Linked DNA regions of Macaca mulatta. The protein of the gene in region 1 interacts with the protein of each later gene in a pairwise test. Links are inferred from orthologs where the notes say so. Each region holds a gene or a part of one and is shown on either strand. Other genes may lie near its edges. The genes, in order: PSTPIP1, UBE2W and protocadherin beta-14-like.

Evidence for each region.
Region 2: the proteins of PSTPIP1 (region 1) and UBE2W interact in binary tests that used the Homo sapiens proteins (3 or more experiments, as listed by UniProt). The two-hybrid records come from large-scale screens. The link is inferred for Macaca mulatta from reciprocal best matches to the Homo sapiens genes PSTPIP1 and UBE2W.
Region 3: the proteins of PSTPIP1 (region 1) and protocadherin beta-14-like interact in binary tests that used the Homo sapiens proteins (3 or more experiments, as listed by UniProt). The two-hybrid records come from large-scale screens. The link is inferred for Macaca mulatta from reciprocal best matches to the Homo sapiens genes PSTPIP1 and PCDHB14.

The regions. Positions count from the first base shown.
Region 1 is NC_133412.1:55,136,211-55,140,566, forward strand, and holds the start of PSTPIP1 (proline-serine-threonine phosphatase-interacting protein 1), read left to right. Parts: upstream 1-1,423; coding exon 1,424-1,449; intron 1,450-1,715; exon of another isoform or gene 1,716-2,025; coding exon 2,026-2,227; intron 2,228-4,356. UniProt on the Homo sapiens protein: Involved in regulation of the actin cytoskeleton. May regulate WAS actin-bundling activity. Bridges the interaction between ABL1 and PTPN18 leading to ABL1 dephosphorylation.
Region 2 is NC_133413.1:84,394,097-84,397,743, reverse strand, and holds part of UBE2W (ubiquitin-conjugating enzyme E2 W), read left to right. Parts: intron 1-2,296; coding exon 2,297-2,452; intron 2,453-3,647. UniProt on the Homo sapiens protein: Accepts ubiquitin from the E1 complex and catalyzes its covalent attachment to other proteins.
Region 3 is NC_133411.1:150,060,037-150,064,197, forward strand, and holds the start of protocadherin beta-14-like, read left to right. Parts: upstream 1-1,234; 5' UTR 1,235-2,137; coding exon 2,138-4,161. UniProt on the Homo sapiens protein: Potential calcium-dependent cell-adhesion protein. May be involved in the establishment and maintenance of specific neuronal connections in the brain.

The DNA.
Region 1 (4,356 bases):
CCTCCATCCGGAGCTGCCCTGGCTGGACAAGTGCAATTGGGAAACGAAGGCCTCATGTGTGGGAGCCTTGAGGTTGGCTTTGAGGGGTGGGAGGATTTGCCAAGGTAAGGAAGATCAAGGAAAGCTTGCCAGAGGGGAGGCTGGGAACAGAGCAGGTGGGAGTGGGAAAGGTGCCTCTGGGGAGAGGGAAGAGGCCTGGCCGGAGCGGAAGCCTCTGGGAGGTGATGGGAAGGACACCTAGAGAGGCAGGGCAGGGAGCCCAGCTGTGAAATTTTCTGCCAATAAGAGGGCAGGAGACTTCTGTTAACAGAGGGTCTCTACACTGCTCCAGACCTAGAAGCATCATCCCATCTGATGGATGGAGAAACTGAGCTCAGGGAGGCTGAGCCAGTGCTATCAGAGGTGGTGGTGCCATTGGGAGGGGAGGTGCAGCCTGCCTCACTCTATGGCCTACAAAGTTCAAGGGGATTTTTACACTGTTAGTTATCTTCAGCTGCAAGTAACAAAAAACCTGACTGGGGTGCCTTACAGATTAAAGGTTAGCTCAAGTCCAAGGTTTCTGGAGGTGAGGGCCTTCTGGGGGCAGTCCCATTGCTCTGCAATTCTCCCCAGAGTGTTTCCTCTTGGGTGGCTATTTCAGAGACTGGGTGTGCACCTCTCTCTAAACCCTGGGCATGCATAATGGGCACTTGGGAGCTCAGCTATTTCATCTGCAGCAACTCTCATCTACTTACCACCCCGTCAGCTGTAAGGCAGACATCAGTGAGGGTGGTGATCTGTGGACAATCCCTGACTCATCCCATTTTGCCAGCCTGCCCTGGGCTCAGGACTTCCTGCTGCATCTTCTGCTGAGGGGGCAGGGCCTGGCTCCTCAGGGCTGGGGTAGGGGTTCTAGTCCAGGGCTCTTCCTCAGGTGGTACCACACAGTGCCCCCAGCACCTGCACACCAAACTGGAAATTCCAGAAATATTCTTGACACCGTCTCCTTTCCAAAGACTGGGTGTGGCAGATGAGGAAGCTGAGGCTCAGCGAGTTGGAGAGTCTATTAAGGTCCCTCAGCCCTTGAAGGGTAGGGTCAAAATGAAAAAAAACTGGGCCTCAGGCTGGGTTTCCAAACACCCTACTCTGTACCTTGATAATACTGTTTCTCTCTCCGTCTATTCCCATTCACTGAGCCGGAAGTCTCCATCTTCAGAGGGGGGTTTTCTGCCCCAAACAGTGTCTAATCAGGAGACTTGCGGCAGTGGCGGTGGTGGGGGGTGGGGGGCAGTGCCGGGGCCTCAGGCTGTTCTCCCTCATCTTGCTGCCTGCTCACCTCACCTCTGTGTGCTCACAGCCCCCCAGAGCACAGCTGTGTCTGCCCCCAGACTGTGGGACCCTTGAGGGCAGGACCTGGTTCGGGTCCCGGAGCAGCCGGGTTTTGATGCATGACAGATGCCCTAGGCCTGGGTAAGCCCCTCAAGAATGGTTTGCTTGTGCGGGGTAGAGAGCCTGGCATCTCTGGGCCCAGCCTGGAAGGGCGCTGGGCTGGCTGGCCAGTGACACACCTGGGGTTCCTGGGCCCCTCCTGGCCACACTGTCGGTGGGCCTCAAGCTCCCTTAGCATATGACCTCTGGAATAGTGAGCCCGCGCCTCTGGAGGGGCAAGCAGAGGCAAGAGCAGGATGGCAGGTGGCAGGCGGGGCTGCACAGGGGAGCACAGCAACTCCACTTCCTGTGGGCGAGGGCCCCGCGCCCGCCCGGGGGGAGGTTGCACAAACCTTCCTGCGCAGGCCTCGGGCTGCCTGCCTGCCTGGCCTGAACTCCAGCCTGCCTCTTCCACTGGCCACTGCCTCCCACACAGGGCTGGCATCCCTGTTCCCTGCTCTGGGTCCCAGACTGTGTCCTCCATCACCGCAGGGTCGGCGAGGGGCTGGGCTGGACACCAGGGCCCGCCCTCCCATCACTGAGCTCCACTCCTTCCTCATTTTGCTGCCGATTCTAGCCCCAAACAAAACAGGTTGAGCCTTTTCCTCCCCTCGGCAGCTCCTCTCTGGCTCATGGCTGCCTTCTGAGTGCTGCAGACGGCGCCGGGCGGGAAGGGGGGCCTGGGCCAGCCCTGCCAGGACTGGGACGGTGCTGCTGGCGCCTGGCCCTCCATCAGGCCAGCCTGTGGCAGGAGAGCAAGCTTTGCCGCGGCAGACGCCTGAGGATGATGCCCCAGCTGCAGTTCAAAGATGCATTTTGGGTGAGTGAGGATGGTTGGGGGCACTGAACAAGTGGAGCGGGCAGAGCTAGGCTGAAATCTCCATGCAGGTGATGGGGTGCGGCTCTGAGAGGGGAGCTTTCTCATAAAATAGTGGTTGATTCTTGGTCTTAATAGTCATGGAGGTGACCCGGGCCCCCACCCTTCTGGATTGGAAGGCAAGTGGACTCCATGAATGAGGGTCCTCCTTTCTGCTGCCCCAGCTGTATTCTCCTCTGGGAGACCTCTCCCCACAGCAGGAGCTCCTCAGCAGAGGGTAACACATGGGTGGGGGCTTGAGGAGGATGTGTGGGGCAGCAAAGGAGGGGTCACAGATTTAGAGACCAGACAAACTTGGGTTCAGGTCTTGGCTCTGTTACTTATAGGCTGGGCAAGTCATTTCTGTCTCTGAACCTCAGTCTCTCCATCTATATAATGGGGATAAATAAAAATCAACACACCAACTAAAGCATTGGATCAGCAAGGGGATCCAGTGCACTAAAGACCCCAGCCCCTTGCCTCACTCCAAATGGTAATTCTCTTTCCCTCACCCAGCCCCTTGTCCCTTGCAGACCTTAGGGATCCTTCAAGGAGGCAGCCAGGCGGGCAATTGCTTGCTTACTTTCTTAAATTCAACACAGGCTTAAATCAAGTCATTTCCCCCATGAAATAAGGGCGCCCAGCCAGTGGTAGAGGTAAAGTGACTTGGCCCGGGCCACGTGGCCTGCAGCCCAGCTTGGACCCCCGGATCATCTCAGCATTTTTCCAGCTGTCCTTCAACTCCCCCTCTGCCCCTCAGCTCCAGCTGTGCCCAGGGCTCTGGGGAAAAGCTGAGACCTCTCTGGTTGGAGCTGGGGAATATGGCTGTCCTGGGGTGCTGCCTCCAACCCCGAAGAGGACTCTCTGGCCCTCGGCTCAGCCGGCTGAGCCCCAGCCAACTGCCCTGCCCTCCCTGGGCCCTTTCCTGGGGCTGCAGCCAGGAGGATGAGAGCCACGGAGCCAGGCCTTCCTTCCCTTCCGGCCAGCTCCACTTGGGGCCTGTGGCCAGCGTGTGAATGTTCTGCTTCCTCTGCACTGACTGCACAGTAGGCAAAGGACCCCACATGGGGAGGGCACCCTGTGCCTTTCTGGGCCTCAGTTTCCCCATCTCTACAAAGACAGGGTGGGCGCAGCCCAGAGAATCGAATGGAGGCAGAGCTGCCTCAGCCCATCCGGAGGACCAGGCACCAGGATGCTCAGGGCCCAGGCTGGCAGCTGGAGCCCTGGGTGGTGGGGGTTGTGAGTCACCACCTTGCTGCCCTGCCTTGGTGTGCAAAGTTGGGGGAAGGGGTAGGGCCTGGAAACCCAGTCCACTCTAGCCCAGGGCAGGCCAGGACCCCTTGACTATCTTATCACCGAGACCTCTGTCCAGGCCCAGAGCCTAGTGCAGAGCTGGGCAAGGAGCAGCCCCTATGGCAGGATCTGGGCACAGGTAGGGGTGGCGTATAAGGGATCAGGGTGTGGCAGCAGCAGCAGAAGCAAGCAGCCAGCGCCTGTGGAGCTTCCTGAGCGGCATCCTGCCCACACTCTGAGCTCGTCGCACCTCTGGGCTTCCTGGTCTCCAAGTGCCTGCTCTCCTCTGTGGCTGGCTTCCTGGGTCTGGGGTGGGCATATAGTTTCCCTAGGGAAGGCCAGAGCAGGAAGGGGAGAGAAGTAGCCAGTGGGAACCTTTCACACTGAGTCTGGGCCGACGCCCCGAAAGGTCACTGTACGCATCAAGGCATCACCTGCCCCAGGGCTCTGGATTCTAATACCTCTTCCTGATGCTCAGCCCATCCCAGTGCATAACAACTAACATTTGCTGAGCACAAAAGATGTGCCAGGCGCTGTTCCCAAGATGAATGCATATTCACTCATTCAATCCTTCAAACAGATGCTACTGTTCTCTCTCTTATTCAGATGAGGAAATTGAGGCACAGAGACATTAAGAGACTTGCGCAAGGTCACACTGCTGGGATTAAACCCTGGCAGGCTGGCTCCAGCACCTGTGTTGTCGCAGGATCCCTCTATCTTTCATATCACTGGATCTTTTGGCTTCGGGGTAAGAGGAAATCCTCTTATCTCCCAGAGGGGTAAGAAGATCAGACAAGGTG
Region 2 (3,647 bases), on another chromosome or scaffold:
AGGTTCAAGGGATTCTCCTGCCTCAGCCTCCCAAGTAGCTGGGATGACAAGCGCGTGCCACCACTGCCAGCTAATTATTTGTGTTTTTTAGTAGAGACGGGGTTTCGCCATGTTGGCCAGGCTGGTCTCAAACTCCTGACCTCAGGTGATCCACCCACCTTGGCCTCCCAAAGTGCTGGGATTACAGGCATGAGCCACACCGAAAAATATCTTTAAAAAAAATAATCGTGGCCAAAGAAGAAACTCTTGGGTATTGCTTGTGTTTTAATGAAAATATCCTAATTATCAAATGGCTTTTTATGGCAAAATGAATACCCCAAGGCATGTATCCGTAAGATTTGTAAACTCCCATTCTGTACATCTACAACACATGGGAATATCAGATGCATATGATGTAATAAACTATAGTTCATATTTATTAAAAATAAAATTTCACTAAAAAACACTTGTGGACAGACTCCAGTGTGGAACTATAAGACCATTTAAGCGTTTGTTTTCTTTTACAGAACAGTACTTTTTTTTTAGCAAAAAGTAATTAAGAGGGTACTAGCACTGATAGATGTAATTGAGATAAATGGCATGCTTAGAGCATAGCCATTACAAAGTCAAAGTCCTTTCAGGGAGTCTTCTGCAGTTAGGTAGGATAAGTGACTTGATTTCTCTTATTTTGAGACGTTACTTTTGTTTTTTAGCTTTTTTTTTTAATTAGTGGGAATGGAGGGTTGATGTCCAGAATTTAAAGAAAAGAAATACATGCAAATATGGAAAATCGTTCCTTTGGGGAAAAAATGCTCTTTGCTGTCTTATCTAGTCTTAGTCAAGGAAATATGTCCCATAGGTTAATATATCTGAAATATTAGAAGACTCCTACTCATATGAAAGACTGCTTTATTAACATGTAAATCTTTGTAAAATTGTAACAAAATCAGATTCATAGCTAGATATTGAAAATATATATAAAACCTTAGCTTATGGTAATTTCCTATAACATATTCCATATTAAACTATAGCATACCTTATTCTATTCATATTTACCTCACTGGTTCTTTTTTCTGCTCTATAAAGAGAAAAAAGGGTATGCCTAAAGCAATACTGTATATCTTTTATTGTTTGTGCTACAACTTAAGGTAAGATTTCTCCTTACTGATATTCTGCTGTACTTGGTGTGAGGCGGTTTGCAGGGCTGAGAGAGATACTGTAAATCTGATTTAGGAATTGTTGGTTTATATCTGATGAGTTCTATAAAAATCTCATCATACTTACTAAATCAGAATCTGTGAAAGTAGGACACTGGAATTTGTATTTTTAAGCAGATATTCCAGCTATGTGGTTTTTTTTGTTTTGTTTTTTTGTTTGTTTTTTTGGCAAGGTCAGGAATTAGGAACTACTGCTAACCTGCAGAATAAATACAGACACAGTGTAAACATAAGACTTCTGCTTTCTTTGAGCAACTTTGGACTATGCTTACAGATTCCTCAGGATACATGAATTTATTCTCCTGCCTATTTGCTTAGGTAAATAAGTTTAAGAAAAACTACTGTAAGATATTTGTTGAATTATTAGAGCAAAGGAATGAAATAATAGATTTATTACCATTCAAAACATTGCTGAGACAAGATAGAGAAAGGAAAAGTAGTGTTAGAAGAATTGAGTAAAAGGAAAAGGAGAGTAGAACTGCAAATTGGGAGACTTGGTCAACTTTTGTATTTTTCGTCTAGGCACGTAGGTATTTACTGATTAACAGCTAGTAACTTGTGCCCATCATAATGGATGTGTAAGTTTAGACGAGGTGGAATGTATAACAATCATTTCCCTTTGCCACATGCACCTTAGAGCTAACATTGTTAACAGGTAGTAGTAGTAGGAGTGTTCCTACCACCTGTCATTCATATTTTCCCAAAATTGAATATTTTTGTTTGGAATTTTAACATACTTGATTTTTATATGCAGAGAGCAATGAAGAGAATTTGAAAAATCATTCTTATAAATGTAGTTGTCTTTCACTAGTGAAAAATACGTAGTACTTTAGAATTTTTAAGGATAATTTATCAAAAATAACAGAAATAAAAAATAATGTGGCTTCTTTTCCCTACTACGTGGTTATTCATTCAGTGAAACCAATACTTACTGAGTTAATGAGAGTAAACAAATAAGCAGTTGTTTATCATGTTCCTGGCACTGATTTTGGTGGTTTTTTTTTTTTTTTTAATAATGAATACTTGTTATATGTGGAGAATATTTTAGTTTTTGGTAATAGAGAATATTTGAGTTTTAATGGAATTTTATTCTCTCTTAGGTCATGTTTACTGGTGAAAATATTCCTGTTCATCCTCATGTTTATAGCAATGGTCATATCTGTTTATCCATTCTAACAGAAGACTGGTCCCCAGCACTCTCAGTCCAATCAGTTTGTCTTAGCATTATTAGCATGCTTTCCAGCTGCAAGGAAAAGGTAGGACTTTTCAGAATTATTCCAGATAGTATCTCTTCTTCTTTCAGTTTAAGTAGATAAATAATTTTAATATGTAATTCTCTTTATTTAGAGGAAGGACTTATGCTTTTTATCTTAAAATTATGGGGAATTTCATGTTTAGTAATAAATTCAAAAGTTATTTTGATACCTTTCATTCCAAATAGAAGTTTTACATGTTGAATGGGGTAGAAGCCAGATTTACTGTTTTATATTTTTTTAAACAGGAAATGTACGGTATGTTCTTAAATCTGATTTTATTCCCAAAAGCATGCACAGGGTAAACGTGTACAAGAAATTCTTTTTGTAGATTTCACAATGGAAAGCCTCAGAAAAGTGCATCATAGCTTCCTTCTCCCCTCTGCCAGCTCCCACCCTATCAGCCTGTTTCAGGAAATTTTTCAGGAACCAGAGCTTTCCTGTCCTAATGATTAGGTTGAAGGAGGAAGACTAGTTTACCAGTAGAATTTTCAGGATGTTTCTTCCTGTTCTCCTTTATTAATCCACAGATTCTATGTCTAATGGAAGTGGGGGGAGGGAAAAACAGAAAGAAAAAAATCACTTATGAAATTTAAAATGTAGGCCGGGCATGGTGGCTCAACACCTGTAATCCCAGCACTTTGGGAGGCCTAGGCAGGTGAATCACCTGCGGTCAGGAGTTCGAGACCAACGTGACCAACATGGTGAAACCTTGTCTCTACTAAAAATACAAAAATTAACTGGGTGTGATGGTGTATGCCTGTAATCCCATCTCCTCAGGAGACTGAGGTAGGAGAATCGCTTGAACCCAAGAGGCGGAGGTTGCAGTGAGCCAAGATCACGCCACTACACTCCAACCTGGGCAACAGAGCGAGGCTCCATCTCAAAAAAATAATAATAAAATAAATTTTTAAAATATATATATATAAGTTTAGGATACCCTTTAAATGTGTCTGAATCCTCTGTGCACTTCTGACCTTCTTGTCATTCCTGCTTAAGGGTTAGTATAGCATAACATTTATGTATTTCTACATTTTAAAACCCCTCCTAAATCCCCATGAGGGTTTCCTTTTGCATTCTGTTTTAAACAGCTTTGCCCTAGAGGTTAGGGAGCTATTTGTGTTTTACAATTTTCTTCCCTTTTCTCCAAGTTGAACTGAATGTCATTTTTAGTAAATTAGTATTTGGAGAACTTTTA
Region 3 (4,161 bases), on another chromosome or scaffold:
AATGCTATTTGCTTTTGATTTCATGGTTTTGAACTCTGAGCCTTCTTTATCTTTTCAGATATGCTTCTTGCCCTGTCTCCTCTAAATGAAGATGTTTCTCAGACTTCTGTGCCAAGCCTCTTCTATACTTATTTGACACACTTCTGCTTGGTTATCCTAGAGCATTCATGGTTTCAATCACCATATATATATATACACATATATACTGATGAATCCCAAAGTTCATATCGTCAGCCCAGGTTTATTTCCTATGCTTTGGTTATAGGCAAACACACACACACACACACACATACACACACACACCACAAACACACAAACACACATCCTACAGGCGCTTACCTCAATATCAGCATGTTCAAAACTGACACTTCATCTTTTTGCACCCCAATCATGTTTTTTTAGCATTCCCTGTCCTAGCAAATGACACCACTAGTCATCGAGTTTCCCAGTCCGGAGGTGTGATATCATCTCTGAGTCTTTCCCCTTTTTCTCCCCATGCAACCTATCAACCAACAGTTGAAAATATTTCATCTCCTCATACCTTTCTACTCATCCCTCTTCTCTGTATCCGCACTGGCATTATCCTCTTCCAGACTACCATCATCTCTTATCTGATCTCCTTGATTCTCCAGTCTTTCCCCCTGAAATTAATTCTCCATACTTCAGCCAAACTGATTTTTTAAATGCAGATGTGATCATGTTAATCAGACATTTAAAACCCATCTTTGTACTTGAATTACATTTAGGATAAATGCAAGAACGCATGATATGACCTGTATAATGATTCACATTCTCACCCTGCTTTCAACCCTAATTTCATTATTAGACCCTCCCTTTCCACAGTTTTTAAAGTCCAAGGCATACTTCACTTCTCTGTGTTCCTCAAAATGCCCATCTGAAATATTCCTCCTTCTCCTGGCTAGTTCCTTCAGATCACAATGTATTATTCATTACGTCAGGAAAGCTTTCACTGATGTCCCAAGTCCTATTTAGATCTTAATTATTTTATTTTTGACAGACACTTAACCAGCACTTACAAACCACTTGGTAAATATTAATTCACTAGATGCCTATGATAATAATCATGGGAGGCAAATATTATTATTACCCCATTTTACAGGTGAGGAAACAAAGATATCTATAACTTGCCCAAGCTTATAGTGAGTTACATAACCAGGATTCTAATATTGATAATTTGGTTCCAGATCCCATATTCCTAAGCACTAAAGTATGCAGCCCATAGGTACAAGAAGCCCTTTCTAGATATTTCTATATTACTTTTTACAAATGCATACATTACGACATACTTCATTTACTTGTCTGCCAATTTTTCTAGCTTGTGAGCTCCATAAGAGCAAGGATTATCTCTAGCTTATTTGTGCCATGTCCTTCTTTGTATTTTCAAAATATGAAAGTGAAAAAAGTAATGACATTACTATGATTGACAACAAGTATTTACAAGAGTGAAAGAGAGAATATATTTGTAATTACTCAAGAAATGACTTAAATAAAAAATTATTTCTTCAGTTCAGAATATTTTAACAGATCCTTTAGTGTCGAGCATTCAAAACAGTGATAATGCAGTGTATAGACATTTTCTGGATTCAAATTCAAACAAACCATCAGCAAAGGACGTTTTGGAGAGAACTGGGGAAAACCAAATGCAGGATAAATTACATCGAGGAATTATTGCTCAAGTTGTTGATTGTGAACGTTATGTTGCAATTATCTTTTAGAATGCCTTATCTATTAGAAATACTTAGTAAAGTATTTAAAGGTAAAAAAAAAATGTTGTCTGGGATTTGTTTTGAATGTTCCGGATGTATTTATGATTTACTTTTTCAAAGAGGAAAACTTTTTAATGAAAAAAAAAAGAAAAAGAAAAAAAAGAAAAGCATAGAGACACATGGTGGCGCTACAGGATAAGACGAAAACTGTACATAGGCTGGCACAGTGAGCTTCGCTATTCAGAACAGAAAGCATCCAACCCACTGAAAAGACAGGCATTAAAGGAGCTTTGCCTACAGAGCTGCTGGAGGATACACTGTCCAGGGGGTTCCTATTAAAAACCAGAGCTTCAGCTTCCAAAATTAGGGCTGAGCTTCAATTTTTCCACAAGAGGTTGCCTAAAGGAACCATGGAGATCAGAGGGTCACTCGATCTACGAAAAAGGCAAGTTCTAATATTCCTTGTTTTGCTGGGATTGTCTCGGGCAGATACTGAATCTGCACACTATTCTGTGGCAGAGGAAACAGAAATTGGCTCATTTGTGGCTAATCTAGCGAGGGACCTAGGGCTGGGGGTGGAGGAGCTGTCTTCACGTGAAGCCCGGGTAGTGTCTGATGATAATAAAAAGTATTTGCACCTTGATTTGCTGACTGGGGATTTGCTCCTAAATGAGAAACTAGACCGAGATGAGCTGTGTGGCTCCACCGAGCCCTGTGTGCTGCATTTTCAGGTGGTTTTGGAAAACCCTTTACAGTTTTTTCGGGTTGAGCTGCATGTCAAAGACATAAATGATCACTCCCCTACATTCCTAGACAAGGAAATACTTATTAAAATATCAGAAGGTACCACTATTGGAACTACATTCCTAATGGAGAGTGCTCAAGATTTGGATGTCGGAAGCAACAGTCTCCAAAACTACACAATTAGCCCCAATTCTCACTTCCACATTAAAATTCCAGACAGTAGTGACAGAAAGATATACCCAGAGCTGGTCCTAGATAGAGCTTTAGATTATGAACAGGAAGCTGAACTCAGATTAACACTCACAGCACTGGATGGTGGATCCCCGCCCAAGTCTGGGACAACTTTGGTTCTCATTAAGGTGTTGGACATCAATGATAATGCCCCTGAGTTTCCTCAGAGTCTCTATGAGGTGCAAGTCCCCGAGGATAGACCCATTGGCTCCTGGATTGTCACCATCTCAGCTAAGGATCTGGATGCAGGAAACTATGGGAAAATATCTTACACATTTTTCCATGCATCAGAAGATATTCGTAAAACATTTGAAATTAATCCAATATCTGGGGAAGTTAATTTGAGATCACCCCTGGATTTTGAAGTGATACAGTCCTACACTATAAATATTCAGGCAACAGATGGTGGGGGTCTTTCAGGAAAATGCACCCTTCTAGTTAAAGTTATGGATATAAACGACAATCCACCAGAAGTGACCATATCATCGATTACAAAGAGAATTCCAGAGAATGCCTCAGAGACTCTAGTAGCTCTTTTTAGTGTAGTAGACCAAGACTCTGGAGACAATGGGAGGATGATTTGCTCTATTCAAGATAACCTCCCCTTTTTCCTGAAACCGACCTTCAAGAACTTTTTCACTCTAGTTTCTGAAAAAGCACTGGACAGAGAGAGCCAAGCAGAGTACAACATCACGATCACCGTCACAGACTTGGGGACCCCCAGGCTGAAAACCGAGTACAACATAACCGTGCTGGTCTCCGACGTCAATGACAACGCTCCCGCCTTCACCAGAACCTCCTACACCCTGTTCGTCCGCGAGAACAACAGCCCCGCCCTGCACATCGGCAGCGTCAGCGCCACAGACAGAGACTCAGGCACCAACGCCCTGGTCACCTACTCGCTGCTGCCGTCCCAGGACCCGCACCTGCCCCTCGCCTCCCTGGTCTCCATCAACACAGACAGCGGCCACCTGTTCGCCCTCCGCTCGCTGGACTACGAGGCCTTGCAGGAGTTCGAGTTCCGCGTGGGCGCCACAGACCGCGGGTCCCCGGCGCTGAGCAGCGAGGCGCTGGTGCGCGTGCTGGTGCTGGATGCTAACGACAACTCGCCTTTCGTGCTGTACCCTCTGCAGAACGGCTCCGCTCCCTGCACCGAGCTGGTGCCCCGGACGGCCGAGCCGGGCTACCTGGTGACCAAGGTGGTGGCGGTGGACGGCGACTCGGGCCAGAACGCCTGGCTGTCGTACCAGCTACTCAAGGCCACGGAGCCCGGGCTGTTCGGTGTGTGGGCGCACAATGGCGAGGTGCGCACCGCCAGGCTGCTGAGCGAACGTGAGGCGGCCAGGCATAGGCTGGTGGTGCTGGTCAAGGACAATGGTGAGCCTCCGCGCTCGGCCACCGCCACGCTGCACGTGCTACTGGTGGACGGCTTCTCGCAGCCCTACCTGCCTCTCCCTGA